Linked DNA regions of Nothobranchius furzeri. The protein of the gene in region 1 purifies or fractionates together with the protein of each later gene. This does not show direct contact. Links are inferred from orthologs where the notes say so. Each region holds a gene or a part of one and is shown on either strand. Other genes may lie near its edges.

What was found.
Region 2: the proteins of trmt112 (region 1) and alkbh8 purify together in Homo sapiens (co-immunoprecipitation; 3 studies listed by IntAct, with this or other methods). This does not show direct contact. The link is inferred for Nothobranchius furzeri from reciprocal best matches to the Homo sapiens genes TRMT112 and ALKBH8.

What each region holds. Positions count from the first base shown.
Region 1 is NC_091741.1:88,069,640-88,073,900, reverse strand, and holds trmt112 (multifunctional methyltransferase subunit TRM112-like protein), read left to right. Parts: upstream 1-1,161; 5' UTR 1,162-1,289; coding exon 1,290-1,364; intron 1,365-1,728; coding exon 1,729-1,830; intron 1,831-1,950; coding exon 1,951-2,043; intron 2,044-3,704; coding exon 3,705-3,806; 3' UTR 3,807-4,052; downstream 4,053-4,261. UniProt on the Homo sapiens protein: Acts as an activator of both rRNA/tRNA and protein methyltransferases. Together with methyltransferase BUD23, methylates the N(7) position of a guanine in 18S rRNA.
Region 2 is NC_091753.1:35,511,278-35,514,099, reverse strand, and holds part of alkbh8 (tRNA (carboxymethyluridine(34)-5-O)-methyltransferase alkbh8), read left to right. Parts: coding exon 1-163; intron 164-883; coding exon 884-1,033; intron 1,034-2,822.

The DNA.
Region 1 (4,261 bases):
ACCACTTTGGAGCCGATCGATAGTCTTTGTCCATGGCCTCACCAAACTCCTCCCACGCCCGAGATTTTGCCTCGGCAACTGCCACTGCTGCACCCCGCTTGGCTTGGAGACCCACAGACCAACCACGTTCTGTAGGTCTCCTTCTTCAGCCTGACAGCTCCCCGAACCTCTGGTTCAAAGCTTTCAGCAGCTTTCGGGACACCTCTGTGTTCCACCCGGTTTTACCCAGCGGTCAGATCAGCGTATCTCTGACTCAGAAGCTCTGGTGTTGTGCACAGTTAACTCCGGTTGTAGCTAGGTTGCTACCTCTGTTAGCTTAGCACCCACCTCCACGTTAGCTTTGGGTTAGTTTCAGGTTAGCTTGTAGCTAGTTCGACCGAGTGTCGTTAGTTGAGCCCAGCCTTACAGCCACACCCTCAGCTCCACCTCTCTTCCCTTTTGTGGAATTGTCTGGGCTTGACGGAACCCGTAACACGGTCAAAATGGCGGTGGTGGCAACCTCCCATTTAGCCTCAAAAACGTGTTATTGGAGTCTATGGAAATGAATTGTCCAGTATATATGTCGATGGCCCCAACCCCAGGCCTGGCTCCAGGGTGGGACCCCGGTAACCCTCCGGGCCGGGTACTCCGACTCCTTGATGGTTCATCCATGAAAGATCCTTTGAACCGTTCTTCGTCTCACCCTTCACCTAAGACCAATTTGTCATGGGAGACCCTACGAGGGGTACAAAGTGCCCCAGACAACATAGCTCCTAGGATCATTAGGGCACAAACTCCTCCACCACGATAAGGTGACGGTTCAAGGAGCTTGCAAAAAATCCTTATTGGTGCAATCTACACATCCAAACAGTTAATCAACTTTTAAGTTAGTAATAATTACAAGATGATCGACACAAAAATGTGGATTATTTTAAGTCATCCTTGTAGAGCTTTGGCATCCAATAAACCAAAAATATTAACATTTTCTTGAGCTATATTTACTAAGGTCTTTTAAGATGCTTCAAACCTAATCTTTTGACAGTGGCTACTTCTTCACACATACGAAGGCATAAATTGTACAATAGTTTAAGTTCATATTTAGTTACTATGTGATTTCTAGTGTGTCATTTGTAGTAGATCAACCTAGGAACCAACAGCAGCACATTGGGTTGTCTTCAGGGATCTTTTATGTGGTGCTTCAGCAGTACTTCCGGCCCACATGTAAAACAGTACAGCGTGATTTATCTGCAAATAATACATTATTATTCTGAGTGTTTCTAATATAATCTTGATTAAACACATCTGCGATCATGAAGCTGCTCACACACAACATGCTGACGTCTCACGTAAAGGGAGTCACGAAAGGATACCCGCTGCTCATAAAGGTAAACGGTGAACATCTGAGTAGCATAGCGGCTAATGCTAACACGAGTTTCACCGTGATACCCAGGCCTGTCTTCTTCTAAAAACAATGAAATACATTTGTAGATATCTCTTCTTCGTGTAAACAAACATTACTGAGTTAAAATGTTTTCTGTTAAAACATCCAGGAGGTAAATTTGTGTCATGACTGCATAAGCTTGCACGTAAATCCTAGAAAGTACGTGAAGACATACTTTACATGAAATTAAAGCAAATTAAGGGTTTTGTTTACTTTCAATTGCCGGTTGAGTTGATGTCAGTGGTTGCCTGATGTGACAGCAGAGTCCACCTGACAGCCTGTGTTTTCTCCTAATGCTGTTTGTTCAGGCCACCGAGGTGAAGGTGAACGATGTAGACTTCAACCCTCAGTTTGTCTGCAGGATGATCCCCAAACTGGAGTGGAGTGCTCTGGTCGAGGCTGCAGATCTGGTGAGTAAACAGGTTTCTCCTTAAGCTAACCCACGGAGAGCCTCCACCTGCAGCTGTATGCATGCAGACATTTAATACTACACAGATTTATCATACATTTGGTTTTCTTCCTCTTCATAGTTGGGTCATCGACAAGATCTACCGAGTGAGCTGGTGCCAGACTACGAGAAAAATGAGGACTTCCTGAAGAAAGTGCACAGAGCTCTGTTGGAGGTAAAGGTCTCACTGACCTCCTCGTTCCTGTCACCCACATTTAAAAACATTTCAGTTGCAGAACCTGTTTTTCTCTTTAGTATTGACAAAGCGATACAGCCATAAAGTACTCTTAAACAAACTGTTGGAGTCTGGTTGTGTGTATTCAGTCACACTTAATTTTGGACTCAATGGTGCTTTTGTGTTACTGGCTGCAGAAATCTCAGCAGAGCTCCATTTTTATCCTCTAATGAATTCCATGACTTCAGCGCATCCGTTTGGCTCAGGATGGCGTTATGTGGAGGTCTACCGTTGGGACTGAAGAAGTTTTATACTTTTCTAGCTCACTTTAAACTATATCCTCTGCAAAACATTACACAGACACACTTTTACTCTAATTATGATCTTGGTGCGTTATAACTGGAGGGATTTTCTTAGAGGTTTTGGCTGCAGAAGTTTTCTCTTGTACTGCAAAGTTGTAAACACTTTGTTTTCCACAATGTGGTTCCATTGTTTCACAGATGACTTCCTGTGTGACCAACAGGATGATGGCATGTAAAACCACATTAACATGACCAACAGGATGATGGCATGTAAAACCACATTAACACAGATTAGTGCAACACAAAAATTAGCCTTAAAGGGGACTTATATTTTTCTTAAGTTATAATAGTTCAATAGTTGATACAAAGCATGTTTATGAAGTTCATTTCACTACATTCCTCTAACATAAAGCAATTTCAGCAGTTTTAATTTTGGCAGTTTCAGTACCTTCCAGAATGAGCCGTTTCAGGGTCAGAGTCTTTTTAAGGTGCTGGCGATACCCACCCATCTCCTGCTCCTGCTGCTATAAGCTGAAAAGCTTCAATTCCTGGTAGAGGCTTGGAGGAAAGCCGCTTTGATCTCCAAATCTGTAAATGTGTCCTAAATTAAACATTTTTCCGCTGCCATGGCTTCCCCATTTCTAAAATGCTCTTGGTTCAAAGTTTGCTTAAAGTTGTCACATATTTCCATCAAGTGTTTCTTCATAAATCACAAAGTTTTTGTGGAAACACGCAGTTTTCAGACCCCCGCTTTGTCCGTAGGCAAACTTTATTAATGAGGCCCCTGGTCTTTTTCAGGGATCAGAATGACCCAAACCAACCAACATCCCTCAAACGTGCACCGAAAAGCAATACATATTAGTATCTAGATTAAACTCTATAGCAGCTGTCCCCAACTCCCTTACCCGAGGGTCGGCGTCCAGCACGTTTTACTGTTTCCCTGCTTCAACACACCTGGTTTTAATCAGCAGGTGATTAACGGGTTTCTGCAGAGCCTGATGAGCTGCTGAATTGGTGAATCAAATGTTCTGGATTAGGGAAACAACTAAAACATGCTGGATACCGGCCCTCGGGAAAGGGAGTTGGGGATCACTGCTCGACAGGAAAAACTTTCTAAATGTGTAACCTGCTGGAGACTTTTACATCCCTGCTTGTAGTCTTTTAATGTGGTTGCATTATGTTAGGAAAGAAGCTGTAAACCCACCCACTGGGATCTGAGGTGGCTAAACTTTTGTTTTAGTCTCTTTTATGGTTTCAGCTCAGCCGGAACTAGCACTATAACCCTAACATACGAGGACAATTCTAATCATATTGTGGGTGTTCGTTTTTTCATGTTGTGTGTCTTTCCGTCTGTTGCAGGTGGAGGTGATTGAGGGGTGTCTGCAGTGTCCTGAATCGGGGCGAGAGTTCCCCATCTCCAGAGGAATCCCCAACATGCTGCTGAATGAAGACGAGGTCTAGCCTGCATCATCAGCTCCTGCTCACTAACTCTTCTCAGCGAGGGGATGGACTCTGATTTGTTTTCAGGAAAAATGGGCTACAATTTTCACATGATTATTACATTTTAAGTGGCTCGCGTTGTCAGTGGATGGAAAGGATTTGAAGAATGACGGGTTCCTTGAGAGTAACCCCCTCATGGTTTTATTTGTATTTATTTTTGTTGGTTTTTTTCTCAATAAAAGGTTCAGAGTTTTCTAACAGCCAAAATAATCTGGTTTTAGTGGAAAATATGGATTGACTTCTATTAAAGACGTGCTGAAATCCCAGAGAGACATGCTCTGAACCTCATCTCGCCCTCTCAGCGTTGGATGACGTGGCAGTGGGTCGTCTAAAATTGGCTTTGAGGAAAAAGGCAGTAAAATCAGGCAGGCTGGAAGTTGTTTTTGAGGAAGTCTCTCTTTTTCTCTGTCTTTTTT
Region 2 (2,822 bases), on another chromosome or scaffold:
GCACCGGGTGTACGACGCCATAGCCTCCCACTTCAGCAGCACCCGCCACTCTCCCTGGCCTCACGTTTGCCAATTCCTGAATTTGCTGGCACCCGGGAGTGTGCTGGCCGACGTGGGCTGTGGAAACGGGAAGTACCTGGGCGTGAACCCTGAGCTGGTCGCAGTGAGTGTCTGAGATACCCCAGTGACCGGTAGTTTCACCAGAATGTTCATTTAAATGTTGGGATTTGTTTTTTCTGAGCAAACGAGTGGAAGGAAAAGATGTATCCAGAGCTGCAGCTTAGCTCGTCATAAATAAAATATTAGTTGGGGCGCTCCAGAGTCGTGTAATGCTTGCATCATTTCACACTTGTGCATGGTTGTGTTCCACGTGAGTCAGACGGTAGCTGCTCTGGAGCCACAGAACAAAAACAAAACGGATCAGTTTGTCAGTAGCGAGTGAGACCGATGTTCTCCTGCTGTATGTCATTGTTTGCATTAGCTTTGTTTCCATGGTAATATCCTAATTTTCTGATTACGTATGCACACGGTGATGTTCACGTTTGGGATTTTGGAGAAGCGTGTAAGCAGCTTATCCTGACTCAGACCGTCCCTGTTATAAATCATCCCCCCCCTCCAGTCTCCTCTTCACCTTTGTTCCTATTTTTCTGCTCTTTAATCCTCTTCATGCTCTGGATCCCGTCCCCACACCTCCTCTGCAATTTAATTCTCTTAACACTTCCAGGTTTAATTAAAATTTAAATGTGTGTTGAAAATAACTTCAGGAAGACATCCTATAAAGCTTAACTCGTATTTATTCTTCCTCTCCAACCATCCATGTTTTAGCCAGACACATTTTGATGCTCAGCATCCATCTGCTGACCGTGTGTTTGTGTGATCTCAGGTGGGATGTGATCGCAGCGGCGCTCTTGTCCAGATCTGTGCAGACAGGGGCTTCCATGCATTTGTATCGGATGCTCTCAGCGTCCCCCTCCGAACAGCCTCCTGTGACGCTTGCATCTCTATAGCAGTCATACACCATTTCTCCACCCAGGTATGCACAATACATAAAACATCTCATGAGCCTCTGGATGGATTTTAAATGAAGTCTAAAAAAGTATTTATTAAAGGTGTGGTTGACTGGAAAACCTTTTTTAAATGATAAGTTTTAAAAATATAATCAGTTACTCTAATGCAGACTGACCATTAAAATAGTCTCCTACACCTATCTCTTGCATTACCTTCTGATAAGAAAATAGACGGTGAAACTCTGGCGTTTGAAAAACCTGACAGATCTACGTCACACCGTCGCTCAACATTCATGTACTTAACCATATTGACTCATGATGGCAACGCTGTTGTTGTTTTAGCATCCAAAATCAGCAGAGAACATTTCTTTCAAAAGAAGCTAACTGCTAGCATTATCAACTCAAACACACAGCTGAAGCTCCTCCAGGCTTGTTATTTGTGGAGATAAAACATCCATGTCCCAGAGCAACCAGAGTTAGTGGTAGAGTCGCCTTGCTTTTATCCAATCCGAGGCAAGATGTCTAAATATCAGGAAATAAGACTTCAAAATCCTCCAATCAAAATCCTCCAATCAAAATCCTCTCGTTTGAAGTACAGCTCTGATGTTGCACACTGGTCCTGCTGGACCAGGGCTTTGTGGGCTTATGTGTGCCCTGAGCTTTACCTGCAAGGCATTCATTCCTGCTAGAGACCATTGCAGATGTATGTGTAAAACTAGTAATCCACACCTTTAACCGATATCATCAATAAGAGGATTTAAACTTCGTTAGTCTGTTTGTGAACGCTGTCAAAAGGCTAAAAACAATAAAGTCGTATTATGATTTCACTTGCAAAATGGAACAAATAACTTTTGTTGTTTAAATAGTTTAATAAGTCAGAATTGTGTCCCGTTTCTGCCTTCTGCAGCTTTCTAGAGCAGTGGTTCCCAAACTTGTTTAGCCGCGCACCCCCTTCTATGTCCCGACCATGTCGACGCACCCCCCCACATCGGGGCATGGCTCTATATATATATATATATATATATATATATATATATATATATATATATATATATATATATGTATATAATCAGATGTCAAGCTAAACAGACAGCATTAAAAAAATTCCCCATCACTTTCATTTTTTAAATAGTAAATAATAAACATTTGACACCATTACAATTTCCTTTGATTTCATTTTAAATAAATATCTAGAGTGCCCAGGTAGCACATAAACAATGCAATTTAACGGTTTTCTTAAAGTAGGAATGTTTAACCTGTGCGGCCAGAGCGCTCTCCTTCCTTCTGCTCTGCATAAACCTGAGCTGATCACCTACTTGTGCGTAATCAAATGTCAATAGGGGACAAGATATAGCCGTGATGTTCACTTTTACCTCAGACCGACTTATTGCTGTTTTATGGTGTGGCTGAATCTGCGATCCGCTGCCACGCAGACTGGAATCACAAATGCTGCAGTAACAGGACTTCTGGTCAGGTTCTTGAGGAGTCACTGGCTGTAGCGGATCCGACTCATCCCAGAAGCTAATATCTTTATTTGACCTTGAATGAAAAATAACCTCTTAAAAGTTTTTATCGTGGTGGAGGCAGCGTTCATTTCTGCCTTCAGTCTGACTGCGCGCCAGAGTTAAAGCAGCGTGCGTGCTTATTGAATCTGTGTGTGTGCGTGCGCGGCACAGCCGCTCAAGTCACCGCGTCTCGTTATTGGCGCTATTTAAACTTCTGCCCAGCCCAGATGTGCTCACATGTGCACCCGTGAGCCGTGGTTCCGCTGGAACGCGTCTGACCTCTGACAGACACACTCTGAACTTCAGATCT